7 linked regions of the Sus scrofa genome follow. The protein of the gene in region 7 interacts with the protein of the main gene of each other region in a pairwise test. Links are inferred from orthologs where the notes say so. Each region holds a gene or a part of one and is shown on either strand. Other genes may lie near its edges. The genes, in order: MBIP, FRMD8, UBE2Z, HSPB7, LDOC1, MEAF6 and PLEKHF2.

What was found.
Region 1: the proteins of PLEKHF2 (region 7) and MBIP interact in binary tests that used the Homo sapiens proteins (3 or more experiments, as listed by UniProt). The two-hybrid records come from large-scale screens. The link is inferred for Sus scrofa from reciprocal best matches to the Homo sapiens genes PLEKHF2 and MBIP.
Region 2: the proteins of PLEKHF2 (region 7) and FRMD8 interact in binary tests that used the Homo sapiens proteins (3 or more experiments, as listed by UniProt). The two-hybrid records come from large-scale screens. The link is inferred for Sus scrofa from reciprocal best matches to the Homo sapiens genes PLEKHF2 and FRMD8.
Region 3: the proteins of PLEKHF2 (region 7) and UBE2Z interact in binary tests that used the Homo sapiens proteins (3 or more experiments, as listed by UniProt). The two-hybrid records come from large-scale screens. The link is inferred for Sus scrofa from reciprocal best matches to the Homo sapiens genes PLEKHF2 and UBE2Z.
Region 4: the proteins of PLEKHF2 (region 7) and HSPB7 interact in binary tests that used the Homo sapiens proteins (3 or more experiments, as listed by UniProt). The two-hybrid records come from large-scale screens. The link is inferred for Sus scrofa from reciprocal best matches to the Homo sapiens genes PLEKHF2 and HSPB7.
Region 5: the proteins of PLEKHF2 (region 7) and LDOC1 interact in binary tests that used the Homo sapiens proteins (3 or more experiments, as listed by UniProt). The two-hybrid records come from large-scale screens. The link is inferred for Sus scrofa from reciprocal best matches to the Homo sapiens genes PLEKHF2 and LDOC1.
Region 6: the proteins of PLEKHF2 (region 7) and MEAF6 interact in binary tests that used the Homo sapiens proteins (3 or more experiments, as listed by UniProt). The two-hybrid records come from large-scale screens. The link is inferred for Sus scrofa from reciprocal best matches to the Homo sapiens genes PLEKHF2 and MEAF6.

Annotation. Positions count from the first base shown.
Region 1 is NC_010449.5:63,657,959-63,662,304, reverse strand, and holds the start of MBIP (MAP3K12-binding inhibitory protein 1), read right to left. Parts: upstream 3,083-4,346; 5' UTR 2,998-3,082; coding exon 2,869-2,997; intron 1-2,868. UniProt on the Homo sapiens protein: Inhibits the MAP3K12 activity to induce the activation of the JNK/SAPK pathway. Component of the ATAC complex, a complex with histone acetyltransferase activity on histones H3 and H4.
Region 2 is NC_010444.4:6,837,152-6,841,019, forward strand, and holds part of FRMD8 (FERM domain-containing protein 8), read right to left. Parts: intron 644-3,868; coding exon 542-643; intron 246-541; coding exon 187-245; intron 61-186; coding exon 1-60. UniProt on the Homo sapiens protein: Promotes the cell surface stability of iRhom1/RHBDF1 and iRhom2/RHBDF2 and prevents their degradation via the endolysosomal pathway. By acting on iRhoms, involved in ADAM17-mediated shedding of TNF, amphiregulin/AREG, HBEGF and TGFA from the cell surface.
Region 3 is NC_010454.4:25,128,209-25,132,076, reverse strand, and holds part of UBE2Z (ubiquitin-conjugating enzyme E2 Z), read right to left. Parts: intron 2,547-3,868; coding exon 2,435-2,546; intron 1-2,434. UniProt on the Homo sapiens protein: Catalyzes the covalent attachment of ubiquitin to other proteins. Specific substrate for UBA6, not charged with ubiquitin by UBE1. May be involved in apoptosis regulation.
Region 4 is NC_010448.4:75,172,109-75,176,652, forward strand, and holds the start of HSPB7 (heat shock protein beta-7), read right to left. Parts: upstream 2,811-4,544; 5' UTR 2,707-2,810; coding exon 2,511-2,706; intron 1,988-2,510; coding exon 1,854-1,987; intron 248-1,853; coding exon 68-247; 3' UTR 1-67.
Region 5 is NC_010461.5:115,579,078-115,583,599, reverse strand, and holds LDOC1 (protein LDOC1), read right to left. Parts: upstream 2,979-4,522; 5' UTR 2,765-2,978; coding exon 2,324-2,764; 3' UTR 471-2,323; downstream 1-470. UniProt on the Homo sapiens protein: May have an important role in the development and/or progression of some cancers.
Region 6 is NC_010448.4:93,582,279-93,586,146, forward strand, and holds part of MEAF6 (chromatin modification-related protein MEAF6), read right to left. Parts: intron 747-3,868; coding exon 659-746; intron 523-658; coding exon 477-522; intron 1-476.
Region 7 is NC_010446.5:41,531,935-41,536,236, forward strand, and holds the start of PLEKHF2 (pleckstrin homology domain-containing family F member 2), read right to left. Parts: upstream 2,999-4,302; 5' UTR 2,847-2,998; intron 2,595-2,846; exon of another isoform or gene 2,510-2,594; intron 1-2,509. UniProt on the Homo sapiens protein: May play a role in early endosome fusion upstream of RAB5, hence regulating receptor trafficking and fluid-phase transport. Enhances cellular sensitivity to TNF-induced apoptosis.

The sequences.
Region 1 (4,346 bases), on a different chromosome or scaffold from region 7:
GTGTGAGGGCTTATTACACGAAAATTTCTTATAAATTGGCTATGTCTGTGAGAATAAAATTATATACAGAAAACTACCAAGAATCTGAATATAAAATTAATATCAAAATGGGTGAAAAATTTAGAGGGAAAGCCTTCCAAGTGTATATAAGAGAACTACCATAAACTTTTCTAGGGACATGTGTTTACAGCATTTTGTAAAGATATACTGTATCACAGAATCAAGTTAACTATCCTATTTTTCCAGAAATCATTTATTTAAAATTAGTCATCTTTGCTAAAAATAAAGATATATTACTTTAGTTCAAATATAGATCTTATGAATTGTGATTACAATATAGCAAAAAGATGAATGAATCACTGTACAAAAAACTGAAAAGATATGAAGTTCCCACAAAGGCACTATATTGAATGCTATATGAAAGAAATTTCCACCCTTTGACCAGGAATATTTAAAGTCCATATCAGACAAGCATAAGGAACTAAGTTTTGTGTAGGCTGCACTAGCAGATGAGTTTATATTAATTTAACTAAAGTTTTACATTAAGATTGCTACATTAATCTTAATTAATTTAATGCCTATAAAGATTTTGTTAGACAACAACTTATGTATGAAAGTAAACTATACTTTCACAGTTCCAAAGAGATCTATAGTTGGTTATAACAAATTTATATATACATTTTGGGATAATGCAAATCCTCAACCAAGACAAAGCAACAAATTTACCAAATAGTAACTTATAGAAATTAATTTATGTTTGGATCATAGTCTCATTTCAATACAGCAGAATTATGTAAGCTTTCAAGTGAAATTCAAGATACTTGGTCTTTTAAGAAAACCATATAACAACATTAAAAATTAACTTTAAAACTATCCCAATACATTCAATTATTATTCAACAAATTCCCTATTAGTAATATGAATTCTATGCATTTTTAGGCTATAGAACTTGTAACTCTAAAACATTCACTCGAAAATGTATAAGTCAGCCATTAATATGGACCATTTAAAATATGCATTTCAGTAAAAACTTTATAAATATGAAAATCCAAGCTAATAATAAATAACTCTTCAGCTTGTAAAATGGACAATCCAGAGGCAAGTAATAAAGTTAAAATTAGTAAACTGGAAATCTAGGATAGAAAATACTGTTTAAACATTCAATTTTATGTTTCCTATTGAGGAGAGCTAATAATACAATGATACTATATAGAATGAACTAGGCATTTTACAACATACAGTTAAAGAAATTCCTTAAACCAGTTTCAAAAAAAAAATAATGATTCCCACTAGGGGCAATTTTATAAGTATAGTACTCTGGCTTTCATCCTTATCTTTATACATCTCAAAATATAGAGTATTATCAAAATGGCTAGCAGTTAATTGATGAGATGATTTTTTTTCCCCAACACTTGTATAAATGGTTCCTTCACTGTCAATAAAACTCACCAAATATTTAAACATTTTTGAGGTGACATAAATAATTTGTAATCATACTTTTCCTACAGAATAGTTGAATGTTTAAAATGTTAAAATAAGTTTTAAAAATTCAGTATGCCAACTGTTTCAAAAATGTTTAAATTATTTCTTAATGTTATTTAAAAAAATCTCATCAGTGGGGGGAAGTCTGTAAACTACAGGTGAGCATTAACCTTTCATCTTGACATTAGGATATAAAAAAAAAAAAACCTTAAAGTTCCAAAGTCACATCATAGAAAGTTCTCAAACTTTTAAACCATTTAGAGGTTTTAAGTCTTGACACTGAAATATTAATGTCCCTGTCTCAAAAAAATATTTAAGTCCTTGAAAAACAACTCTTTTAGCCGATTCTATTGATAATTATTCGCTTACACCAAATTGTGTATTTAATTTTGAGTAATACTCTTTTTAAGTCAGAATATATTAGAATTTTTAAAAATACTGAAATAACCTTTTAAAAAACTGATTATCCATCCACCGAAGGCTTTTAAAAGTAATTTTCACAAATCAAACGCTCTATTTTCATAAAGGATGTTACCATTATCTTCCACACAAATACCTAATCCTATCTAAGATTTAAAAAAAGATTTCCTTTTAAAAGCAGACAAACGGTATTTTCAAGTTCGCATTTTAAATTTCCTTTACATCTTACATCATGAAACGAAATAGTGACTTCACTGGAACAGAGTAAAGAGCACTTTTATTTGTTCGATTCTATAATGATATTTCTACAAAAGCTATTTATCAGCCAGTTAAGCTAGTTAATATTTAATAACTTGTCAACAGTTGTGATGCAAACAGTATAAACCAGGGATAACTTATCCAACTTAACACTAGAAGTGGTTGAATTAATTCCTTTTCTCTTCCTTCCCGTTTTGAAAGGGGAAGAGATGCAAGCAACAGCCAGAAAGAAAGAAGAAATAAACAAACCCAACTGACTCCTAACGGTAAATCACCCAAAAAAGGCGGAGAGGGAGCTTTTCCAGAAATCTCAGGCCGTAGACTAACCTATCAATTTCTATAATGAATGAATTGGAGGAAAAGGGATCCACAGCGCTAGGCGCCTCCCAAACCCTCACAGCTTTTCCGCACGCATTCTCTTCGAGCTTGTTTCTCTCCTAGCGGGGTTTCACTTACACTATCCTCATTCGCTCTTGGGGAGAAGAGTTGCAAAGAAATCTAGCCTGCAACCGGTCTTGAACTAACCCACGCGCGGCCAGCCTCACTTAGACCACAGGCGGCCGGGCCCGAGCTCCTCCCCCAGCCTCGGCTATTCTGGGCCGGGTCCCACACCCCGCAGGCCTCCGCCGCCCCCGCCTCCGCCGGAGAAAGGAGAGGGGGAGGGGCCGGACGGTTCCCAGATCCCTACTCCCAAAGCCCACCACTCACTTGTCCAGCAAGGGTATGCAAGGAGCGAAAGACTTCGCAGACCACCTCTTGGGAGAGGTTGGGGCTGCAGCTCCGCTCCATGCTCCTGTCACCGAGGGTCGCGCGACTAAGCTCAGCGGCGGCAGCCATGACACTTTCGTAGGCCACCCCCACCAGCACCAAGGTGTGCTCACAACACACCCCTCCCTCTCCTGCCTTCGTCGCTCCCCGATGATGTAAACACACTGCGTCTCATTTAGAGCGAGACTGTAAGACCCCACCTTCCCTACATGACTGACAAGCATGTGCACCAATAAGGTGCAACTACAGCATTCCTTCAAGGACCGTGAGCAAGAGATTGCCAACCTGGGCTTGGCTTGCTGCAATATTTGAGATGGTGATTTGGAGTCGTTATCTAATGAGAGTTAGCTTCTTGAAGCTTAGCTTGACGCTTAGATGTTGATTATGAGTGTTGCTAAGAGAAAACTTGTAGTTAAATGTTAGAGTTTTAGTACCAAATTAAAGTTGAGATTTTACCACGGCACTTTAGAAAGATCGCTGGTCAGGGACGCAGTGGATCCACACATATTTCTAAACACTGAAAACACACAGAATTGTCATAATTGGGTAGAACATTTTCGTCTATACACAATTTAACATCACTTTTTTTTCATGAGAGAAAGAGGAGGATATAACCACCTCCCCCCCAAAATACCCCTCTTTTATGCCTCATTTACTATCAAGGGAATACTACTTTAAATCTGCAAAATAATTCTGTCAAGTTTTAAAACTTGCATAGTTGCTGTTCTCTGAGTGATATGGTATACACACTCATCTAAAACTGTTTCAAAGAAAACAATGTCAACATGATTCCAACAGGAATTTAACCCAAATAAGTAATTGCGTGAACACCATCTTTGAAAATAAAGATAAATCCGAATTAAAATTCAACAAGTTATTATTTATCCAGATAACTGTATTAAAAGATATCTGAAGGGCTCTGTAGTATTCCGGGGTCAAGCATTGAAAATTTTGTTGTCCAATTGAAAAAAAAAAAAAAGTTTAGACGAATGCTTAATGTTAAACTCTATTCAAAACCACTTGAAAAATAAACATCATGTTTAGATATGAGGGATGAAAGATTTAAAATTCTTAATTCTAATTGTCTAATGCGTTTACAGTAGGAGAAGCAGAGTTGGAAACTTGCACAATGTGTATTCTTCAGTTTTAGAGTAGGCTGAATGAAAGGGGAGGAATAAACCATCAAGGAACTTGGATTAGGGGCAGTAGAGATAAAAGAATGCCTTTGACCTGTCCCTAGGGAGCCTCTTAATTAGGCTTTCATTTCCAAGGATCAGCAGGCTTGACAGGATCTTAAGTAATCTCGTCCGCTCCCTTGTTCACAGCAAGATATAGAGTTTATAATCCAGCCTATGCCTAGAGACATCCAGAAACAGATTTCACAATATCTAATCCCAAATTGAGCAACCTTCTTCCCA
Region 2 (3,868 bases), on a different chromosome or scaffold from region 7:
GGCCAGCAGGTTGCCCTTGGCCTCCTCGTACAGCAGCCGCAGGACCTCCTCGTCATGGATCTGCAGGCCGGTGCACAGGGAGGGGCCACTCAGCTAGGCTGGGCACAGTGTCCAGGGCCCTAGGGCCAAGGGGGGCTGGACACAGCACCGGACCTGGGTGGGACCGCCTGGGGCTCCTTGCCTCACCTGGAGCTCCCGCCGTTTTGGGAAAAACACATTCCTTCGGAATTGCAGGGAGGGCTCATCTGGGGAGAAAAGAGGGGCTCACTGCCAGCTCAGCCCCTCCCCTGAGGGCCAGGTCTCCAGTCCCCAAGCCGCCTCCACCCCTTACCCAGAAAACCCGAGGGCTGATCAGAGATTGGGGGGTGTGGCTTACTTTAACGTGTTCGCTGTGCCCCCACCCACCCCTTCCTGGGCTCCCCTGGGGATCCCTCCCTACCCAGGTGGGAGAGGCCAGCCCTGCCCCTTGGCCAGGGCAGCACCACCTGCTCCAGACCCAGGTGGGCCCCTGGGACAGGGATGCACGGGTAGCAGCACTGACCCACGGCCACGTCATCGTCCGGGGCATCGGTGAATCGCAGCAGCAGTTCTGGCCATTGGCGGCCCAGCTTGTAGGGCTGGTGCTTGGGCTTCAGCTGCACCTCTGGGGGACGAGAGGGAAGCAGCCATGAAGCCGTGGCCGTGAAGCCCCAGCCAGTGCAACTGCTGCCCGCTTACAGCGGCAACAATGCCGGCAGTCGTGGCCAGTATTAACCAAAGGAGGTACTAAGCATCCAGAAAGAACTATTTCCAACGGTTCACAGCACTGGCCCTGCAATAACGCTACCCTTATTTCACAGGAAAAAATGAGGCCCAGAGAGGTTAAGGAGTCACAGAGCAAGTGAGAGGGAGTCAGAGCCAGCCTCTGACTGTTCCCTGCAGTGCAAGTGTGGCTGAGAGGCTGTGGCAGATGGAAGGAGCTGGGGGTGGCAGTTCAGATGGCTCCGGAACTGCCGCTAGGGAGCAGAGTCCAAAGCTGGTAACTGAGGCCCAAAGGCCCAGAGGCTGTTCTCCCTGCTCCCGGCACTGCCTGGGTCCCTCCTTCGCCAGCCCTCATCCAGCATCTTCCCTGGGGGCTCCAGCTGACCTTCCATCCTGCGAGCTCCCCATCTCCACGGCCCACAGGCACCATGCCATCCAGCTGCCCAAATGCATTTCCTTCTCTCTCTTCCTCGCCACTCTGCTCCTGCCTTGCTAGCTTTCTTTCAACATTCCAAGGGTCCCTGTTGGTTTGTGCTTCAGGGCCTTTGCACATGCAGTTCCTTCTGCCGCTGACACCCTTCCCCCAGATCCTCCGATGGCTTGCTGGCTTCAAGTGTCACTTTCCCTGGACCCCTAACTAAGGCAGCCCCTTCCTGTTACTTGTCACACTAATGGCACTTTTTTTTTTTGGTTTCCTTTACCACTACTGGGGGTCACTTCACCGTCTCTGCACCACTCACAGCCCCTCATCTCTGGGCTGCCAGCTGGCCCAGGGCTGAATGCCCCAGGCCAGGAAGGACAAAGCAGGTTCATCTGACGGCCGCAGTGCCCCTGGCCTCTGGGAGGTCTGAGGCCAACTCTAAGTCCATGTGGAGATGAATGCGGATGGCTGCCGAGGGCACAGGAGCCGATGGCAACACCCACACCCTGTACCAGCCACCCCTTCCCTCTGACCTGTATCTTCCCCTTTACCCCTCACCCCTAACATCGGAGGGCTGGGTGCCTTGTCCTGCCAGCCTGATGCTAAGGATGCTCATCTCTGTTCTTTGAGCTTCCATCTGGACCCTGATCTTTTTTTTTTTTTTTTTTTTTTTTTTGGCTTTTTAGGGCTGCACTTACGGCATTTGGAGGCTCCCAGGCTAGGGGCTGAACTGGTGCTACAGCTGCTGGCCTGCACCACAGCCACAGCAACTCAGGATCTGAGCTGTGTCTGTGTCCTACACCACAGCTCACGGCAACACCAGATCCTTAACTCACTGAGCGAGGCCAGGGATCGAACCTGTGTCCTCATGGATCCTAGTCAGGTTTTTAACCCACTGAGCCACTACAGGAACTCCTGGACCCTGACCTTAGTCCAGGACAGCAGTCACAGGCTCCAAACTGGCCTCCTCCCTGCCTACGACCCCTGCATTCCTGCCGCCCTTACACCTCTTTCTTCCATCATTTCCCTGATTCAGAGTTCCCAGCAGCCCTCATTGCCTCGGCCACACCCATCTGTCACCACCCCTGCCCAAGCGCTCCCAGGAGGGGACGGTGCCACCCGAGTGCTCTCTCCATCTAGACACTCACAGGGCGCCGGGCCGGGAGGCAGGGGGACCATCCACTTTAGAGGCGGGAAACTGAAGCCCAAAGAGGGACAATGTCCGCCTGAGGCCACCAGAATCAGTGGCTCCACCAGGAACTGAGCTCTGCCCCACCACCAACTTTAGACTTTGAGTCCCCTGAGGGCAGCGACACCTGCAGTCCTGTTCCCAGCGGACCCCCCCCCCGCCCCAGCACCTAGATCTCCGCCCAGCCTGAGGGGGGGTGGGGCGCTTGCTCTGCACATACTTGTGAGATGAACGAGGTGACGGGCTAGCTGGGACCCCTGGGACGTGGTGGGGAGGAGGATGTGGGGCAATCCTATGGCTCAGCCCCACCAGCCCTACACCCGGATCCCCAGCAGCTCAGAGGACTGCCGTGATCAGACCGCGACTGCGCCGGCCCTGTGGTCCCACAGTTCCAGGTGGGGCCTTCCTGCCTGGAGGCTGTCTGTCACCGGGATGAGACTGGCAGTCCCTGGAGCCCTGTTCCGTGCAGAGTGACAATGCCACTGAGAAGGTCAAACCCTCCCAAACATCTAGCTGGAAGGGCGGCTCCAGCAGATGGTACCCCCTTGCCCTGGGCCCTGGGGCATGTGTCACTGCTACACCCACTCTGCGGGTGGCGCGGGTCCAAGAGTTCTGAGGGGCCTGAGTCAAAGCTGAGGTGGCCTTTCAGCCTTTCTGAACCCAGCCTGGGAACAAAGTGGGCGCTGACTCTGTGCTGGGGCCTCCTGGACAGGGCGGTGCCCCAGGGCGACCCACCAGCTACACAGGCAGCCCATTCATGTTCTTGCGGCGGGGCGGGGGGCAGGAATGTGAAGAGGAGGGTGTGGGGGAGGAAAGAAGCTGCCCAGGACAGGGCCAGGGAGCACGAGGCAGGGCAGGGGCGGTCATACAAAACCCCCTGCCCTCGCCCCCAGCTTTCCAAAGACACAAGCCGAGGGGCCCACAGTCCTGACCAACAGCCAGAAGGTTGAAGGAGGGGCAGCTGAGCTGGGAGGGGAGCGGCCGAAAGAGACCGGTCAGCAGGAAAAGGGTGGGCGAGAGCAGCAGCTGGGCAGGAAGCACCCACTGGCGGGTGGGGGTGGGGAGACAAGCACACCCTCCCCCGTCCAGCCAGCAAGATTCTCCCCCAGGGCAGAGGCACAAGGCCCTTCTGGCCCCTGATCCTCTTCAAGGGAGAACATTGAAGCTCAGAAAACTTGTCAGGCCCCCACATCATTCGGAATATCCTCTCCCCTGGTCCCTTCCTGCCCAAGCCAGCAGGCTAGCGGCCCTGTTCTGAGGCCCCAGGCAGCTCCCCGCCAACCCCCTTGCCCCTGTCCCCCAGGCCTGAGGGTCTGGAGAGCCCCCAAGCCCACTCCACCCCCGCCTTGGGATGGCAGCCTCAAGGGGCAGTACAGGGTGACCACCAGCCACAAACCAGGCAGCGCTGGAGGCCCCTGCAGAGAAGCTGGGCTCCCAAGCATCCTGCCTCCCCACCCTCAGGAAAAGTCTCCTCCTGAGGGGTGGCTGCATCCCAGGCCAGGTCCCACTGTCCCTCC
Region 3 (3,868 bases), on a different chromosome or scaffold from region 7:
CAGAAACTCCCCATATATCCCCTCCCTACACATGCATAACCATTCTCAACACCATTCACCAGAGTGGCACTTTTGTTTTGTTTTTTTTTTGCGGGGGGGGGGGGGCTCTCACGGCATATGGAGGTTCCTAGGCTAGGGGTCGAATCGGAGCTGTAGCTGCCAGCCTACGCCAGAGCCACAGCAACGCAGGATCCGAGCCCTGCCTGCGACCTACACCACAGCTCATGGCAACGCCGGACCGTTAACCCACTGAGCAAGGGCAGGGATCGAACCCACAACCTCATGGTTCCTAGTCGGATTTGTTAACCACTGCGCCATGACGGGAACTCCGGCACTTTTGTTTTTAAGCCAAGGGACTACACTGACACATCACAATCACCGAGGTCCATGATTCACCTTAGCGTTGACTTTTTTTTTTTGAGACCACATCCGAGGGATATGGAGGTTCCCAGGCTAGGGGTCCGATTGGAGTTGCAACTGCCAGCCTACGCCACAGCCATAGCAACGAGGGATCTGAACCACACCTGTGACCTACACCACAGCTCGTGGCAACGCCGGATCCTTAACCCACTGAGCAAAGCCAGGGATCGAACCCACGTCCTCATGGATGGCTAGTTGGGTTTGTTAACTGCTGAGCCCATGAAGGGAACTCTTAGCGTTCACTTCAATGGAGTAGTGTTGCAGAGTCCATGGTTTGGACAGAAGTATAAGACATATATCCATCATAACGTCACATAAACTCCTTTCACTGTTCTAAAAGACTTTTTTGTCTTTTGTCTTTTAGGGCCACACCTGTGGGATATGGAGGTTCCCAGGCTAGGGGTTGAATCAGAGCTGCAGCTGCTGGCCTACGCCACAGCCACAGCAACACAGGATCCGAGCCGTGTCTGCGAACTATACCACGGCTAACGGCAATGCCAGATCCTTCACCCACTGAGCAAGGCCAGGGATTGAACCCGCAACCTCATGGTTTCTAGTCAGATTCGTTTCCACTGCGCCACAATGGGAACTCCTAAAAGGCTTCTGTATACTGAGTACTCATCTTCCCCAGACTCCTGGCAACCACTGATTTTCTTCCAATATTGAGCCCATTCCCAATGATCCTGCACAGCAGCCATCTGGAGATGGGCCGGGAGGGAGGTGGAGAATGACACATGTTGGGTATTTGTTTATAGAAAGGCCATGAGTTGTGTGTTCCTTGTCACAACGAACCCAGGTTTCTGTTGGGTGTGTTGTAAACAGAGAAGCCATTTCTTCAGGCCTCTTGCTCTGAGCACACCCCAATTTTTGCTCGTTCTTAAAGGGTTATCTCCCTTTGCTTAGATCTATAGAAGAATCACTAATGTTAGTGTTATCTCAAGTAGTTTCAAAATGAATTAAGCTGTTTTAATCACCAAAACGGAATTATTATTATTTGGGAATACCAGTGGAATTCTTTTCCTGTGCTCATGAGTAAGTAACCCTGGAAGGAGCTTTGGAACAATAAAGATTTTGGGTTCCTAGGACTACATCCTGATCTGTGTTGTTCTTGTGAAAGCTAACTAATCTCTCTGAGTCACCATTACCTCCCTTGAAAATGGGGATGACAATTATTTATCTTGCAGAGTTGCTATGAGGATTAAATGAAATGTTACATATAAAAGCTTGGCAGTGGCTGGCATACAGTACACCTTTGGAAAATATGAGTTTCCTCCACCTTCTCTTTGGCAGCACTGACTAAAATGTTCTTGCACTAGCTAATGACTGCTCCTTTTGCTCTGCAGATAACAGGACTTCATAACTCCAAAAGAAGCAGTAGTCACTAGGGAGCACTTTAAAGGGATACTGGAGGGAGTTCTCATCGTGGCTCGGTGGGTAACGAATCTGACTAGCATCCATGAGGACACAGGTTCGATCCCTGGCCTTGCTTAGTGGGATAAGGATCTGAGGATTGCTGTGAGCTGTGGTGCAGGTCACAGACATGGCTTGGATCCTGTGTTGCTGTGGCTGTAGTGGAGGCTGAAAGATGCAGCTCTGGTTCAAACCCCAGCCTGGAAACTTCCATATGCTGCAAGTGTGGCCCTAAAAAGCAAAAAAATAAAATAAAAATAAAGCAACACTGGAGAACAGAAGCAAAGAGAAGAACCCACTAGCTGCAACAGCCCCCCAAACAGGCTCAGAATCAATTTCCAAATGACTCCATCGACTTCCACATGGTAGATTAATCCAAGTCAAATGGAAATAAGTTGACAATGCTACTGTAACTTAATAAGGAAAAAAAAAAGTCATCATTAAGGAGCACACATGCCAACTTCTTTTTTTTCCAACAGCGAGAAAACAGAGTTTAGCATATTGGGGTGAGCCGGTCAAAAACAAAACCAAAACCCTCAAGCAGACCTTTCATCTCTTAAAACCCAACCCTGAGCATCCCAGAGCTAGGCCTACCTGGCCTTACCTGCTCAAAGCCGGGTTCATTGTGATAGGGGTTCTCAGTCATCAGGGACTGGATGGAGATGAGCACAGAAGAGATGCTCTGGGCTGGGCTCCAGGCAGGGCCAGTCCACGTACTGCAAAACACAGCAGAGGGAAGGGAAGAGGGTGAGGCAGAGAGAGATGGGGAAGGACATTCAGAAAGACCAGTGCACACGTATCCTGGGGCCTGGCGGCACCATCATAAGTGACTCACTTTCTCTTTCACTATTAATACTCTGGAATTTCCCAGCCTCCAGCTCATCCTCATTCACCAGAAATCAGTCAACTGTCTAATCCTCTTACCAAGTGGGACAAAAGAGGGTAAAGCAAGCAAGGTAACTTTGGAGGGATTTTCTTTGGGCTAGAAGAAAAACAGTGGCCAGGGAAGGTTCCCTTTTTCGCAATGAAAGAAATAAGGTAAAAAACAGCCCCAAAGGCAGTCTAAATGTGAACCTCTATGGATCACAAAGAGTTATTTATGGGTGGTGAGGGAGTCAGTGAGGAGAGAGATGCTGAGTGCAGAGGCAGAGAAGGGACCGCAGCTATCCGTTTAGAGGCCATGTGGTGGGGCTGATAATCAGGGATCCAGCTCTCTATCAAGCCCCCAAAGAGTATCAGATTCTCTGAAGATGACAGAACTCTGCCAAGGGACAGAAAGGGGATAAGGCGCACTTCTGGACTGCGGAGGGTTTGAAAATGATACAGGAACATCTTCAACAACAGAAAAACACCAAAAGTTGCTCCTTTCTTTCACAAACCTGATGGAACACTAGGATGAGGAGGGAAGCTTGGACATTAAGAATATTTATTTTAATTTTAATTTTTTGTCCTTCTAGGGAGGCACTAGTGGCACACGGATGTTCCCAGGACAGGGGTCGAATCGGAGGCCCAGCAAGGCCAGATCCGAGCCGCGTCTGCGACCTACACCACAGCTCACGGCAACGCCGAATCCTTAACCCCCTGAGTGAGGCCAGGGATCGAACCCGAGTCCTCATGGATACGGGTGGGGTTTGTTAACCGCTGAGCCCCTGGGAACTCCCAAGGACGGTTACTTTTAGTTCAGTCAACTGAAGAGCTGGCACCTGAGTTGGCAGCTGAACACAACCTGAGCTAGGACTGGCTCGTTCAAGTAAACTGGCCACTTCCCTTTCCCTGGCGGCTGGAGGAAAGGCCGGCAGGTGACAGGGAGCAGTCAGGTCCTCAGAGACTGCGCTTCAGTGCCTCTCAACCTCTCTTCTCAGCTCTGCTCCCCCAGGCAGCCTAGACTCTGCGCTCTCTGAAGCTTCACATATTCGAGGATTGAAGTCAACAGTGTCAACTTTCATTCAATTTGTCAGTAAATCAGCCCAATATTTTTGCTAGGTAGGGAGGAAAGGAGTAAGGCTGACAGAGTGAAGCGTCAACTAAATACACAGGA
Region 4 (4,544 bases), on a different chromosome or scaffold from region 7:
GCCTCTCTAGCAGCCCAGTGGGGGAGAGGAGAGGGCGGTGGGGGCAGGGCCGGGGAGGGGAGGGCCCTCAGATTTTGATCTCCGTCCGGAAGGTCTGCTGGACGTGCTCCGTGTGTGGTTGGCGCCGGGCCCGGATGGTGAGGCTGCCGTCCTCCCGCAGGGCCGAGGTCACCGATGTGGGGTCCACATCCTCTGGCAGTTGGCACTTGTGAGCAAAGGTGTTCATGACGGTGCCGTCAGCTGCCAGCTGGGGAAGGGGTGATGGGTCAGGGCAGGCTGGCCCCCACCCTTGTACTGCTCACGACAGGCCGCAGCCCCGGCTGCGCCGTCTAACCCCAGCTGGGCTCCCATGTGCTGAGAGGTTCTGCTCTTAGGTGCAGAGGCCCTGCCTAGGGGCTGGCCAGGGTAGGATGGGCGCAAAGATGCTCAGCGGCGCTCCAGTGGTCCCAGGGGAAAGGCAAGGGGTTGGTGGGGGAGCTCCGAAGGAGAGGAGGCTTGGTGGCAGAATCTGGGGCTCCTGTGTGACAGGAGAAGGCACAGAGCAGAGCCGAGCCCTCCTGGATACCCAGACACATTGGTGTCCACCTCCGGGGCTGGGCTGGCAGCCCCTCCCCCACGACCCAGCCAGCACATGGTGTCCAGAAGAGCCTGGGGCGGCTGAGTCACTGGTGGGGGTGGCAGGGCTGCCACATGCTGCCCACTGGTCCTGGTGCCCATAGTCCCTGGCTTCCCCGATGGAGGTGCAGGGCATCCTCCCATGCTGGAGAAAGAAGCTGGGCTGTCCGGTGGGGTAGCTTTGGGCCTACCCTCTTCTCTAAGGAGCAGCTGTGGCTCTAACCCGCTGGGGGCAGCCCCCCTCCTCAGCCAGGGCCACACCCTCCTCGAGGGTGCAAGTCTCCTGGGAGTTAGGACGTAGAGGCCCTAGTGACACAGTGACCCTGAGATCCATGGGCAGAAGAATTGTGGGGTTTGGAGTGTGTGTGACCTTGAACTGCAGGGCTGCTGCCTAGCCTTGAGCTCCATTCTGGGGTCCAAGAGGGAAGACGGCTTGAGGGCTGTCCCATGGGGGAGCTCCTTCCCCCTAGCCGCCCAGGTGAGCCCCCCACCTGACCACACACCTGAGGGAAGAGCTCTCCTCTCACCCCCCCTTCTCATCTCTCACCTCCTCTTACGTCCCCCTCTCTCTCTCTTTTTTTTTTTTTTTTTTTTGAGCCACAGCAACGTGGGATCTGAGCTGCATCTTAGACCTACACCACAGCTCACGGCAACGCCAGATCGTTAACCCACTGAGCAAGGGCAGGGATCGAACCCGCAACCTCATGGTTCCTAGTTGGACTCGTTAACCACTGCGCCACGACGGGAACTCCACCTCCCCTTCTCATCTTTCACTGCCCCTTCTCATCTCTCCTGCCTCTTCTCACCTCTCACCTCCTCATCTCTCACCTCCCTTTCTCACCTCCTCTCACCTCCCCTTCTTACCTCTCACCTCCTCTCACCTCCCCTCTCCTCCCAGCCTCAGGTGCCCCACCCTCTGCCTCCTCCCGCCGCCCCCCATCCCCTGTGGCTTCTTCTGCTGCCCTGGGCTCCTGAAGAAAGGATCTGGGAATGCAACAGTGTAAATCAGCTACACTTCAAAAATAAAATAAAATTTAAAGGAGGATCTGGAAGCCTCCAGGCAGAGAGCGGCAGTAAAGGGGGCCCCGTGGCTACAGGAGCAAGGCCCCCAGTTTGTCCTGAAGTTTTAGGGGGCACTGGTTAGGGTGCAAGGTCCCAGGATGGGACATGAGAGTGGGGATGCTGGACAGAAGGTACCTGTGCGGAGCCCCCAGTCTTAGGGGAGGGGGCGGGCTCACCTTCTCAGCTCGCACCTCAATGTGGTTGTTGGAGGTGGTGACAATGATGTCTTCAGGTGAGAAGTCACTCACGTCCACTGCAAACTCGTAGGCATCGCCCAGGGTCTTGATGTTGCCAGGCCCCCCGGTGCGGGCTGTGGGGAGGGCTGCTGTGAGCTGAGCACAGGGCAGGCTGGCACCCAGGAGGAAGGTTTCTGGCTCCTTCTCCTTGGGGAAGGGGCGGCCCCCCAGGCCTGACCTCCCTCTCAACTGTGGCTCCTCAGCTGCCCTGGCCGTCCCTCCTCATTTCTCGAAAGCCACCTCTCCCAAGGTGGGGAAGGGCCTTACTCGGCACCGGTATATGACACTGTCCATAGCCACTCGTCCCAGGCCTGGACTGGGGATGCACCTTGCCCGCCCCCCCAACACATGCAGCTCTCCGGGGCTCCAGAGAGGGCCTGGCCACAGGGCCTTTGGCCCTTGGCACCTTAGCTGACCCCCAGGCCAGAGCGCTTCCTGGGAGGCCTGCCTGGGGCCACATCTGTCCTGGTGGCCCTGCAGCTGTGCAGCACCTGTTCCTAGCAGCTCAGCAGCCGCAGCTGCATGGGGTGGTGGCCTGGAGCAGGTGTCCCCTCCCCCGTGTGCCTCCCCTCCCCCACAGCGCCCCCAAGCACTTGCCTGGAAAGGCCAGGGGCTCTGAGTGGGGCCGCATGAAGCTGCCAAAATCCTCGGAAAACATGCTCAAGGCCTTCTCCATGGGTGGGTCCTGGGCCGGGAGGGTGTGGGAGGCCGAGGAGGACGAGGAGGAGGAGGAAGAAGAGGAGGAATGGAAGCTTCTCTCCGCTCTGAAGGTGGAGGAAGTCCTGTGGCTCATCCACGGGCAGGCGGCCGGGCCCGGGCTGGGCGCAGGGGCGGACAGGAGAGGGTGCGGACAGCCAGCTCTGGGGGAGCATGCGGGGCCCTGGCCGGCGGTGCTTTATAAGGCCCGACCGTCCCTGGGCGCAGGGCCAGCCCCTTGTCTACCAGCTAAATTTAGTCCTCTCCATGGCCCAGAGGAGCTGGAAATCTTCTCCAGTGAGACGGCCCTGCTGACAGTTCGGCCCAGGCTGCCTGTGAGGCTGAGCTCACAGTCCAGCATTCCAGGCTGATAACTCCGCATGGGGGGCCTCCCAGGGCAACGAGGTGGGGGCCCATGCTGTTCCCTTGCCACTCAGACCCCTGCCCCCCTGCCCCGGGACCTTGTGTGTGCAGGCTTTCTGTCTCTGTCTCCCCCATCAGACGGCAAGCTCCTTGAAGACATGGTTTTCTCTCTTTCCTGTCCTGTCTCCCCCAGAGTTCTAGCCCTTGGTGAGAGGGATCTGGGTGGCAGGTGATCAGGACAGAGGGGCCCAAGCCTCTGACTCTGGGGAGGACAGGAAATGCAAGTCAAGAGGTCAGAGGGGCGTAGAGGACCCCCACCTGCTGGACCCCTGTGGGAGGTGAGGGGTTCATCCTGCAGGACAGGCGATGTTCACAGCCATCTCTTAGGAAGGACGGAGACAGCCCTGAGTTGGGGGAGGGGGTGGAGAAGGTGCCACTGTTGCCCTGGCAGCCCCTCCGGGGACCCAGATTTCATAATTGTCCCCCCTCCCCCTCCCCCCGACTCTGGAAACATTAACGGACCCAAGACGAGAAAGCTCAGGCAGGGCTGGTGGTTGGGCTGGACCCAGGGGAGGAGAGCAGAGAGTTCTGTAAAGGTTGGTAGCAACCTAAAAACTTACATTCCTAGGAATGGTCCGCTTGACCTCCAGCTCAGGGGAGATGTGGGGGGTGGCAGGGGGCAGGGCTTCAGCAGAGAGAGGGGAAGGAGGCCCCCACAAGACAGTGGTTCCAGCTGTGACTCCTGAGGTGCCTGCTGGGCCCAGGCTCCAGGTGGGCCTCATCTGATCCTCTCCCTTCTTGGGAAGGGGATGTTCTTTCTTCCCATTTTACAGACAGGGAAATGGAGCCTCACAGAGAGCCTGGGGCTTGCACGTGGGTAAGGGGCAGAGCTGGGATTTGAACACAAACGTGTTTGATCCAAACTCTCCAGGAGGCCAGGGTGACCTGAATATTCATGTAGGGAGCCTGGCTGGCCTGGAACACCCTGAGAAGCCCCTCCTGTGCCCACCCACGGACCAGTGGAGCCAGGATTGACATCATGCAGGACCAAAGGGGTGAAGCGGGGGAGGGCTATTCTGGGAGGTTCCTGGGGCCTCTGCTCTTCTCTCCAAATCCTGCCCTTCCTCCCCAGATCAGCTCTGGTTCCTCTTCCCCCAGGGAGGCCTCTCGGATGGCTTCAGCCCACACAGGGGGTCCTGCCCAGATGTCTGACGTACTGGCAATGTTTGCCCAGCCTGGCACCTGAGTGTGGCGTGGTTTTCCTGTGTCCTCTGCCGTGACCTCTCTCCCCTGTCAGACTGGCAGTTCCCTGGGGCGGGGGCCTGCCTGTCTCCCCATTAGGCTGGGGGTCCCTGAAGGGGGGAGTGTCCCTCTTCTCTCTGGCTCCCACAGAACTCCATCTCCAGGGGTAATTACTGGAGCTGATGGTCCAGGAGGTGGGGCCAGGGTGGAGCTGGAGCAAGAGGGGTCTGTCCCACAGTGGAGATTCCTGCCTGGCCTGTGTCACCCATTCTGGCCAAGGGGGCTTCCAGGAGAGCTGCCAGGAAGTTACCAGCATTGAGGTGAGATGGA
Region 5 (4,522 bases), on a different chromosome or scaffold from region 7:
GCCTTTCTTTGCCCACTGTATCTCTAACTCCATTAAGTCTACCTGGACCACTGATTATTTTGAATGGTTTTTGGCCCTGCTGGGTCCCTTACCTGCTTTCAGCTCTGGCCCAACACTTCCCCACATCTACTGTTTGGGCCTCAACCTCCTTTGCTAAGTCCTATCTACCCCTGTCCCCACCCTACAGAAACAACTTTCTTAGGTCCAAAAGATGACTCTTGCTCTAGACTTTGTCTGTTCACCAAGTAAACTGGTTTTCTATCTGACTTCATGTCAGATCCCAAAGAGTAAAAATGAACTCTTGTCATGCTCTCATTTCCATTCTCTCTGCTGAGCTTATTCTGCTCCTGTTCACTCCTAACACCTTCCTACTGAAGCCCAGCTCAACAGCAAGAGACCTGTTCCCTGTATCTCATTGAACCCACAATGTAAGGTTTATTGGTACAAATAAAACACTCAGCATCAAAAGGTCTTAAACAAGAAGGAATTTTATTATCTAAATTAGAGGTTCTAAAGTAGGGCTGGTTCCCGGCATGGTACAGAAGACATCTGGGCAGATACATGTAAGAATCAGAATTCTGAACCCCTCAAATCCTCCTGACAGTTCCTGGCTGGCAGCGATAGGCCCCACAAATCCCCTAATCAGGCTTCCCTGATTTAACATTTCAAAGACTTAACCTGGGGTTATGGGCTCACAAAAGTAGAGATTATTCTCAGCACTCACCCCACTCCCTTAGGGCCTCCAGCCCTCCAGGCCCACAAAAAGATCTCAGCACAGCTCAGACAGCATTACAAGATCTAGTATGGGAGATAGCCAGGCATCTTGTCGATTTCTACAGGCAGGAATCTGGGGCACACAGATGGGTGGGGATCTTAAGGGTTATCTGCCCAAGGAGGATGAAACATTAAAATCTGGCTCCACTTATGGGTGCATTTACCCAGGACTCAGGATTTAACATTAGCTCAAGCATCTAAAATCGGTATTGAAACAATGTGCTACCTTGTTTATGGAAGCCTGAACTCAAACAGCACCCTGCAAGGAATAAGAGTTAAGAGGCAGCACTTGCCTGGCAGGGCTGAGAAAGAACCCAAAAGCTCAGGAAGACAGGAATATGGTATGTGCCCTGATGTACGCCTATTGTCCCATTCCGATTAGTAATAGTGCCCCCTTTTTCTCTCGAGTGTCCCAGTTTGGGATGGTGTGCCATCTACTCAACTACCCCTTATTCATCCCATCCTGGAAGCCCCAGAGGACACTCACTTCACCAGGGCTTTAAAAAGTGCCTTGGTGAGGGGAGCACCAGTTTCCCTATAAAGCTCTGTAGTAGCAGTCCTCTATTGCCCAGACATGACAGTAGAGAATAATGGGATTGAACTAGGCTCTCTGATATCAGTAGGAATAATGGGAGTCAGGGTGAGAGTGGCAAAGGCCAATGATAGCACTTAACCATTAAAAGACGCTCTTTTTTTTCCGTAGTGCTTGATATTTATTGAAAAGAATGCAAATGCTTTTTCTATGTAGTATTGAGGAGCTGGGCTGAGTACCTGCTTTTGTCTGTCTGGTTTTTGTTTTTAGTATTTTTGTCCAAATGCACACAGCTGTGGGACTGCTTCAGTTTTAAAAGAAAAATGACAGTTGTGCAAAACTGGTGCATAAGAGAAATGTCAATAATTTGGCTGCCAGGCACAACGGGCCCCTGCAGCAACCTGGTGAGGCAGGAGAAGACTCTATGAGTTAGGAAAGGAGGGAACGAACCAGGTGCAAAGATTCGCCCCTCGTGGGGGGGTGGGGTGGGCGTGAGCAGTCCAAATCAATGTCCCAGGTGGTATAGCCAACTAAAAGCATCTTCTAGGTTGGTCCTTGTCTCCAAAGGCCTGGTCTGTCTGTCGCTGGAATGTGATGGAGGTTGGTTAGGTGGCAGCGTCGGTCTTTGGGCAGATGTAGGCCTGACAATCGGCAGGGCTGTGGGTAGTCTGACCAGTTTGTAACAGTCTGCCCTATAGTTGGGGCTCAGAACACAGTTCAAATTAGCAGGGTTGGGCCCTGGGACTGGCCTGAGTGGGAGGCAGCGCACTTCAGAGAGGCCCCAGCCCCAGCAGCAGGTAACTGTAGCACTATTCCCAGAACAAAGACAAACACTACGGGGGGGGGGGGGGGGGGGGGGGAGCGGTGAATAAGGAAGAGAACCAGAGCGAAGACTAGGAAGACTAGGGAAGCAGATAGGGAGCGAGGGAAGTGTCGCGGCTCCGGGAGGAGCGAAGCGGGGCGGGGGGTGGTGGCGGCGTGCAGGGCCCACCCCCCTAGGCCCGAGGGTCTCCCGGCCTAGTAATCAGCTTCTTCATCTTCTTCGTCGTCTTCTTCGTCGTCATCCCAGCCAAAACACTGCTTCATCTCATCGAGGAAGGCCCGGTAATCACCTAGGATGGGGCTATCCATCTCAATGTAGGGCACCACCCACTCTTCGGCTTCCCCGGTGAGCAGGCTGATTAGGAATGCCACCTTCATGGCGTCGTTGCAGAACCGGTTCTCGTTGACGAGCATGTAAGACGCCGTCTGCACGATAAACTCAGGGAGGCGGGAGCTCTCACCGTTAAACGTTTCGGGGAAGGGCACCGGGCAGCTCGGCGGACGTACCTGGCGCAGTAGGGTGGCCCTCTCGCACACCAGCAGCCGCAGCTGTTCCATGAGCTGGCTGTTCTCGATGCTCAAGGCGCGGTGCCGCATCAGGAGCGCGTGCAGCAGCAGTACCAGCTCGTCCACCATGGCGAACAGCTTGTAAGAGCAAGAATGGGCTCAGCTCGGTTCGGATCGGCTAAGGTGAGCAAGGAGGCCTTGCAGGAAGTGCGTGTCCGCGGAGGCGCGCGGCGGCCAGGGGCGAGAGGCGGTGCGCGCAGGGGTCCCGGCAGCTGCGCAAGCTCCACCCACACAGCGGCTCTGACGGCCGGCACGCCGGCGCCGCCCGCTTGGAGGGAGGCGGGCACTGGAGAAAGGAGGGGCGTGGCCAGAGTGGAGCGGACAGAGGGAGGGCGTGGCCAGGCAAGGAGGCGGGCAGGGTCTCGGGCTGCTGGCTCGCAGTTCTCCCGGCCCGTGGATAAAGGCAGTGGGGGGAGATCCAGCCCTAGATGCGGGCCAGGCCTTAGCCAAGGCCGAGCAAACGCTAAGATCCATCTCCCAGAGAGGGTTAACCTGCTCAAGTTTAAAGGATTAACCACCCTTCAACCCAAACGACTCAATGTTCCTCGGTGGGTCTGTGGCCACCAGATTCCATTTATGTGGTTTTAACACATTTCTTTGCGTGTTTAAATCTCCCTCACTCAGAGAACTATTAGCAATTCTGGCTGCACCGCAGGAGTCACATCCTTTAAGAGTTATGAAAGACGTTCAGGAGTCCTGTCTTTCATGACAAAGTAATACTTAAAAAGAGGTTTTTCTTTAGTTGTAAAATAATATTGTGTACCTCTATCCTTTTGTTTAAAATTACTTTTAAATAGCAAAGTGTAAAAAGTTCTGCAAAAGTTAGTATCCAATCACCATTTGCATGAGTCCTGCCTATCTTTGACTCTATTTCATGTCCTACTACTGGTTATTGTTCTTTGCTTAACAATGAACACATGTGTTTTTAAAATAGTTTTGTTTTCTACTTTGAATGTGATTATTCAAATAGTTGACAAATAAGTCAGGGTGAGGACCTTGGGGCCAATATATTTTTTTAGCTTTGCTTTTTAAATATATCAGCAGTTTAATTACCTGGGGATCTCTAAACAGCACTACCACCCTAAGGCCAGCCCTCCTTTCTCACACAGACTGTTGCAGCTCATCACTTAGCTTCCACTCTTCTCTTCCTCAAGTTGTGTGTGTGTGTGTGTGTATTATATACATACTCCAGAGTAGATATAGGAATCCTTTAGGACAAACATTAGATCTCTTTACTTTCCTGCTCAAAACCCTCCAATAGTTTTTCCCCCTTCGCTCAAAATAAAAACCAAAGTCTCGGTAATGGCCTATCAAGCCCTGCCTCACTCCCTTTGCCTTGTCCCAGTTCCTGCTCTGCTGTCATCACACTGTCCTTCTTGCTGAGGCTCACACACACTGAGTGGCTCTGGCCTCAGGATCTTTGTACTTTCTTTTTTGCCTCAGAATGTTCTCCTGGTTTTACTGCCTGACTCTTCCTCCATTTTCAAAGCGGACTTTCCTAACTACCTCATCTATCAGAGCACCCCACTCTCTGCCAGTAACCTCTAACGTTTGCCTTGCTTCATTTCTCTACATAGCATTTATCCTACTAACAGCCATCATATCACATAGCACTTTGTTTATAGGTCAGCTTCCCCTTTAAAATGTCTGTGTGGACAGAGGCTTTGCTTTGTTGGTTGCTCTATCACTAATGCAAGAAAAGTGCCTGGCCCAGAGTAGAAGCTTCATAAGGGTTTGGTGGATAAAGGAATCTCAGGGTGCAGATGTTAGGATAAAAATTCGAAGTGGTGGATGCACAAAGTGTTCAGAAATACTCTTCAAATTGTC
Region 6 (3,868 bases), on a different chromosome or scaffold from region 7:
TAAAAAGGCAGGAAGGATACGGTAGTTTCTTCCTCAAAAGAAAAGCATGATTAAGGATACCCAAAAGGGTTCCTAACTTCTAGAAACAAAAGGCATGAATGTAAGAGATGCAGTCTTCAGACACACAACTGGACAGGAGTTACACATAAGGGCCAGGGTAGCTTAAGAGTAAATTGACGAGGAGCTCCTGTCGTGGCTCAGTGGTTAACGAACCTGACTAGTATCCATGAGGACTCAGATTCGCTTCCTGGCCTTGCTGGAGTAGGTTAAGGATCCAGCGTTGCCGTGAGTTGTGGTGTAGGTCGCAGACTTCCTCAGATCCGCCGTTGCTGTGGCTGTAGTATAGGCCAGCAGCTGAAGCTCTGATTTGACCCCTAGCCTGGGAACCTCCATATGCCAAGAGTGCGGCCCTCAAAAAAGACACACACACACACACACAAAAGAAAATTGATGAAAAAGTAAAAAAATAAACTTACTCTTCTCAATGAGCTGGTCCTGAACTCCAGCCAATGCACTTACTGCCTAAAAGAAAAACATCACCAGTTACTAGAAAAATTATCACAGACCTCAGGAGAGCACTCAGAGATGGAGGGAAAGAGAAATTTAACTGAGGTCTTTCTTAAAAATGGGCACAGAAAGAGCCCCCTGCCTCACTTACGGCTGCTGAAGTAACTGAGGATTTACTGAAGAGCCGCTCCGCTTCCTTAAACTTCCGGTTCCTTCGATCGTTTTTGCTATTGGAGTTTCTGAAATACACACAAGAAACTCATTATAAGCACCAAGCTTTGGTTATGGCTCAAGCTGAGGATGCCCTAGGGCAAACACCTATATATATATATATATTTTTTTTTTTTTTTTAATTACCAAGTTCCCTACAAAAATGCCTCCTCCATTCCACTGGGATTGACCAAAATGACATTTATGCTGAATGCCTAAGTAGACAGCAATGCTTTCCAATATACCTACTGTATGTGCTCCATTGAGATGGCTTTTGCTTTAGATTCACAATCATTTTCATTTTCTTTTATTTTGCCTTTTTAGGGCCACACCTTCGGCATATGAAGGTTCCCTAGGGGTCCAATCAGAGCTGTAGCTGCCAGCCTAGGCCACAGCCACAGCAACGCCAGGTCTCATGTGTGACTGCAAACTACACCATAGCTCATGGCAATGCCGGATCCTTACCCCACTGAGCAAGGTCAGGGATCGAAGGATTGAACCCATGTCCTCATGGATACTAGTCAGATTTGTTTCTATTGAACCATGACAGGAACTCCCACAATCATTTTTGTTTTAATATGTATTTATTTTAATACCTATTATTAAAAACATCTAGCACAGACTAATGATGTGAAGTATCTCTGTTAAATAACTTTAATTTAAAAAATTGAATCTGGCGTTGTGGTGGCTATGGTTCAGGCCAGCAGCTACAGCTCTGGTTCAATCCCTAGCCAGGGAACCTCCATATGCTCCAGGTGCAGCCCTAAAAAGATGAAAAAAAAACAAACAACCAAAAAATTTAAAGAGGAGATCCATGGTGTTCAATCCCCAGCCCCACACAGTGGGTTAAGGATCCAGCGCTGCCGCCACTGAGGCCTAGATGGCAACTGCCCCTCAATCTGATCCCTGGCCCAGGAACTCCATATGCTTTGGCTCGGCCAAAAAAGAAAAAAACTTTAAAGAAAGAACGAGAGTTCCTTAGAGAAATGACTGATATCAGGTCTGGGACAAGAAAAAGACAAAGTGGAGTTTCTCTGTGGTACCGTGGGTTGAGGATCTGGCACTGTCACCACAGCGGCTCAGGCGCAGCCAAAAAAAACAAAGAAAAAAAGAAAAAAAGAGAAAAGGACAAGGTAACAGAAAGCAGCAAAATGCTCAGAAATAGGATCACGTCAGAAAGACAAACAAATCAGCCTGCGGCAGCTCCCTTTGGCCAGGTTTAGAGCAAACTAAGCACCAAAAAGGATAATGATGGATGTGTCAGCTCCGTGAAAAGTCGGTGAGATGTATATCTATAATTCTTCTCTGTATAGATTTCAATATATTAATTCATACTAAAAAACAAAACTTCACAATAAAAAAGTGACAGTACTAGATCCCAATACACTGATTTAAAAAAAAAAAAAAAAAAACCCTGGGAGTTCCTTCCCATTGTGACTCAGCGCGTTAAGATCCCAACTAGTATCCATGACGATGCAGGTTCCATCCCTGACCTTGCTCAGTGGGTCATAGGCTCCATCACACTGCAGAGAGATGTGGTGTATGTCATAGATGCGGCTCAGATCCCACACTGCTGTGGCTGTGGCATAGGCCAGCAGCTATAGCTCCAATTTGACCCCTAGCCTGGAAACTTTCATGTGCTGCAGGTGCAACCTTAAAATAATAAGTAAATAAATAAATAAATCATCCATGTATCTATAGTGACACTAGAGACAGAATATGAAAGGGAGAGAAGATAAAAAGGGAAGACTCTTCTTTCAGAATGCCAGTGATAAATGAAAAGAAATAGTAAAATCAGAATCATCATTTTGCAACCTCCATTATAATAACTGCTTCAGATAAGAATCAACAATGGGATGGAGTTCCCACCGTGGTGCAGTGGTTAACGAATCCGACTAGGAACCATGAGGTTGTGGGTTCGATCCCTGGCCTTGCTCAGTGGGTTAAAGATCCAGCGTTGCCGTGAGCTGTGGTGTAGCTTGCAGAAGCGGCTCAGATCCCGAATTGCTTTGGCTCTGGCATAGGCCGGTGGCTACAGCTCCAATTAGACCCCAAGTCTGGGAACCTCCATATGCCATGGGAGCGGAGCGGCCCTAGAAAAGGCAAAAAGACAAAAAAAAAAAAAAAAAAAGAATCAACAATGGATATTAAAACCAGTGATAAAAATTAGAGGGGGCTATATTTTCACACTGCCTAAAAATACAACCTCTGAAATTACTTGTTAATTACAAAGAGAAAAAAAATGAACATTTACAATGGTGAAATCACATGATCCAACTTAGTGGGACTAGTAATGGGGCAATCTGACATGTGCCTCCTGATAAAATAGAGGTAAACAGCAGGAGGTATACAAATAGGTAATTAACATTTTTGCCAACAATGTTTAAAGGATCTCCCATTAAGTCCCACTAAGAAAAACCTGGAATTGGAACATTCTGCAAAATAATGTCACAGGGAGTTCCCTTGTGGCACAGTGAGTTGAGGATCCGGCGTTGTCACCAGCAGTGTGGGTTAGATCCCTGGCCTGGGAACTTTCACATGCCAAGGGCATGGCCAAAAAAAAAAAAAGAAAAAGAAAAAAGATAATGTCATAAAAAAATTCACCACCAAAAAGGGAGAGACGCTCCTAGTAAGAGACTAAAGAGACATAACAGCCAAAAGCAATGCACGAACACTAGCTGCATTAAAAAAAAAAAAAAAAGGTGGCAATGCATCTGGGGGACAAATCAGGGACATCTGAATAAGGACTGTGTATGAAATAATACTATTAATGTAGTGCTAATTTTCTAGGCATGATAATAAGTGGTTATGTAAGAAAAAAAGTTCTGGAGTTCCCGTCGTGGCGCAGTGGTTAACGAATCCGACTAGGAACCATGAGGTTGCGGGTTCGGTCCCTGCCCCTTGCTCAGTGGGTTAACGATGCGGCATTGCCGTGAGCTGTGGTGTAGGTTGCAGACGCAGCTCGGATCCTGCGTTGCTATGGCTCTGGCATAGGCCGGTGGCTACAGCTCCGATTCAACCCCTAGCCTGGGAACCTCCACATGCCAAGGGAGCGGCCCAAGAAATAGCAACAACAACAACAACAAAAAGACAAAAGACAAAAAAAAAAAAAGTTCTTATTCTTAGGAGGTAATTGCTGACACAATTAGGG
Region 7 (4,302 bases):
ATTTCATTACAGAATTACAGAACTCCTTCACCTGGAGAGGTTTCACAACTTAAAACAGCCCTCTGAGAGTATATCCACAAAGTCCATTTTATTCACTTAAGCCAACATACACCCTGCTATTAGGCATGCAGCTGGTGTACAAAGCTGGTTCTCAAAGATAAACTTACAAATAGAAAAGCAATTTTCACATGTTTTCCATTACGCCAGGCATTCTAAAACAAAATTCTAAGACAAATTCTAACAAAATAATTATTGGTAGAGAAATCAGAGTTGTTCTGTCAAAAAGCTTAAATATATAAGCATGACCTTCAAAATTTGTAGGCATTAATTCTATTTCCATGTAGTATAAACACTAAATACAGAGGCACTTTTATTTTTCTTATTTTTTATTTTTATTTTTTGTCTTTTTCCTTTTCTAGCGCCGTACCTGTGGCATATGGAGGTTCCCAGGCTAGGGGTCAAATCAGAGTTCTAGCCGCCGGCCTACGCCACAGTCAAAGCAACTCGGGATCCGAGCCGCATCTTCGACCTACACCACAGCTCACGGCAATGCCGGATCCTTAACCCACTGAGCAAGGCCAGGGATTGAACCTGCAATCTCATGGTTCCTAGTCAGATTCATTAACCACTGAGCCAAGACAGGAACTCCCAGATGCACTTTTAAATTATGATTATTATCCTTTTGTTGACTCACAGCTGTTGTTTCTTTGCTGCTTATCCTTCTGTCCATATCTACTCTGAAATTTCACAAACATTCAAGTTCTGTACCCCCAGACCAAAATTAATGAGTTGCCAAGGTAAATTCTCAAAAAAAAAAAAAAAAAAAAAAGGTGGTTAGAGAAGATTTAACTCTTCTGCCCCTGAAAGTGCAATTTAACAAGAAATTCATAAAGCGTATTTACAAGAAACACATGTGTATTTATCCATTCAAACCTTTCCTGAGCATGTGCTATGTTCTGGGGATGATGAGGCAACTCAGACCTGACCTAAACCTGCTGTCAAGAAGGTGCCATGACAGATACATTTACTGGGATGCAATGGGATAGATAGGTGAATTATTCTTGGGGAGAAAAAGAGGATGGGGTAAGGAGAACAGGGCAGAAGGAGCTTCTATAGGCTTGAGTGAATAATTTTAGGAGGAATAATTTCAGTACATGAACTCTCATAAACTGAGATTTCCTAAGAAATACTCCAGGAAATAGATATACTGAGAAACTAAATTAAAATCAGAAAGAGCAGCTAACAGACGAAACAAGGTGGAGAGAGACTACTCCACAGGAATGAGTTATATATCCTGCAGTTACGCTGTAAGAAAAATGAGAAGGCTTCAGTCATAAGATCTCACTTAAATACCAGTTTGGCTGTTAGATTTGAAGTTAGTTAAATCACTTTATTTGTAGGTAACTCTTCATACAGAAAAATATATACATATAATGGCAATTACCTAACAGTGGGGAAAAAAAGGTTTTTTTTTTTCTTCTAGAATTAAGGAAATTAGCGATCAAATCTGAGCCGAAGCTATATTTTTACCTAAAGATTGATAAGAGAAATTCTCCAAGATATGTTTAAGGGTTTATCTGATTTGTAGTTAAAAAGTCCTTTCAGTTCATTAACAGAATTTGGAAGCTCAAATGCCTTCATTAAAACTAGTAATTTACATTCACTTACTGGGGTGATTCAAGCTGAATCTTTTTTGATGCCTTGGTCAGTACACCAGTTTTATTTTTTGAGGCGATTACATGTGCTTTCCAAATAAGTAACTTAATACCATTCACCTCCAGTGCTGTGAGGACCCAAAGAGATTAAAAATAGAAGCTTTCCTTAATACCGAATTAACCTGAGGACCCCATGAGCTCGCAAAGGACAGAAAAATCTAAATGCTCAAAACACAGTAGGCAAGCACCTTTAAGGAACCAAAAGGAGGGGGGAAACCTCGCAATGTCAAGATCACTTCACCTTATTCTAAACAGAACACATGCCTTTGAGTCTCTCAATGTTCGTGTCTAAGTCCTTCTTTACTGAATTTGTTCTTCAGTGACGTACTGAAACACAACAAAGAAAGTATTTACCGATTTACAAACTTTGTGAGTCTCTGAATTACAGAGAAGAACTTGGTTATCTGTAACCTTAATACTACCCACGATTTCCAGTGCACACTCACAAGTTACTGCTTCAATGTCCTAAGGGCGCACAAGGATAGTCAAGCAACATGAAGAGGCAGCTCTCGGCCTTTAATAAAAATTTAAAAAATAAAGGAAAAATAAATTGGGCAAAAGACCATACAACTTTTAAAAGATTCCAAGTAAGTAAGACGTTAGAGCCAACGCTTCTATCAGGGTAAATTCTGCGGTGCCATTTTTGGCCGCCAATCACATAAAAATACGCTGTTCAGATTACAACGTCCGCGATGCCCAGACCCTGCAAACTTTTTGGACAGAGAGATGTTGGGGCCCTAAGATGCCATTGGCCACGACTGGGACCCCAGTCCCCGCGCCTCCCAACTTCTCACCCGATCTCAGGGTCCGCTTCGCGTCCGCCCGGCCCCCGCCCCGCGGCCCGGAGGACAGAACGAGCACCGGCACGGCCCCCCGGGCGGCCCCCGAGCCCTCCCGCAGCGGCGGCGGCGTCCTGCGAGCGGGCGCGGCTCCCCCAGGGCGAGGGGAGCGGCCGGGAGCGCCCCGTTTCTCACAGACCCCAACATGGCGTCGGCCGCCGCCGCCCGAGACGACGACACCTCCCCGCGCCGCCGACGGCCGGGGACCGCGGAGGGAAGCGCCCGGAAAGTTTCGCTTCTCCTCTCCCCGCCCGCCGGCGGCCGGTGGACAACCAACTCCGGCTTCACCTACCCGGCCGGGCGCGGACGGCGGCGGCGGCGGCAAAGGTCCGACTCCTCCTCGTCCCGAGCGCCGGGCGCGGACTCTGCTCGATCCTCCGCCCCAGCCTCCCAGAGTGGGCAGCCAACAGCGTTTCGCAGCCGGCGCGATCCAGACGCGGCGGGCTGGCGTCGAAGCCGCTCGCAGGTGACCCTCCCGCCCCTCCAGTCGAACCCCACAACGGCCGCCGGGGACAGCCTCTCCCCTGCGCGCGCACGGGCGCGCCGCCACCCACACGCCAGCCGCGAGCGCGGGCACGAGCACACCCACACCGCTCGCTCCCCGCCCTTTCTTGCCCGTTCCCTCGCCCCGCCCGGGCGGCCCCGCGCGACGAGCTCGAGGGGGCGGAGCCACCACGAAAGCCACACCCACCTGGGTAGCCAGGGCCTGGGGTTGGTTCCTCCGTGCTCAGTGGGAACGCGCGCCTTGGAGCCGATTGGGCGCACGTGGGACGTCTTACCTGGGCTGCCTAGCTGCGGGCAAGTCCTTGGAAAGGATTGTTCATCTGCCCACGAAGTTCTTAGCGAGGCTGGAAGAACGGAAGGAAGGCTGGGCCCCCTCTCCCACACCACCGAACTGGCCTGTAAGGGGAACTCAAGAACTTTCCACTGCCGGGAAATAAAAGCTGGGCGGACTTTTGTTTGCTACTCCCACTTTAGCACAGCGTTCCTGCCTGTCACATCTTCCACTGGCTTTTCCTAAGACCCCACCACTTGAAACAGAGGGAGCTGCGGCTACAACACACATACCCCATACAGTCTTTTAAGTGATGGATGACTTATTCCCTGACTTAGAACTCTGGTCTTTCCAAAACTTTTTCTCTGACGCCACAAACGTCATCCAACTTCACACATCTGAAAACAGTAATGATACCATATAAGGTTAAACCTGCCCTTCTTCATTTATAACGCAGCTAAGCGAGCTGACGGATACGTGGAGAGATGTTTAAGATGACTAAGATGAGGAATGGGGGGAGGAGACAGAATATTCACTTCAAACGGAAAGCGTATAGGCAGAAATTAGACTTGGGTAAATTTTATCTTTCCCGTTGATCTATTATTTCAAGGATATTTTACCTTTGATTATTCTTGAATTAGAACCACCGCACCCAAGCCACATAAAAGAGCACCCACCTAGGGATACATAAGCAGGAACTTTCTTTTGGTCTGGGATCCCCTCCAGGTATTCAGCCTCCCATCCTCACTTTTTCCATATCTCAGAAACAAGCAAGTCTTTTAAATAAAATTAGTAACTAGAAAAAAACTGCAAAACCGATATTTTTTTTTAATAGGAAAACGTAGACTATTACCACCAGAAAAACTTTACATCTGTTAGGTATAGTTGTCTCTGAAGACAAGTGTAAATGTCCCCAGGATTCTCATCTGAACCATCACCCTACCCCAATTTCATTTAGTTCCTTCTTCCTCTA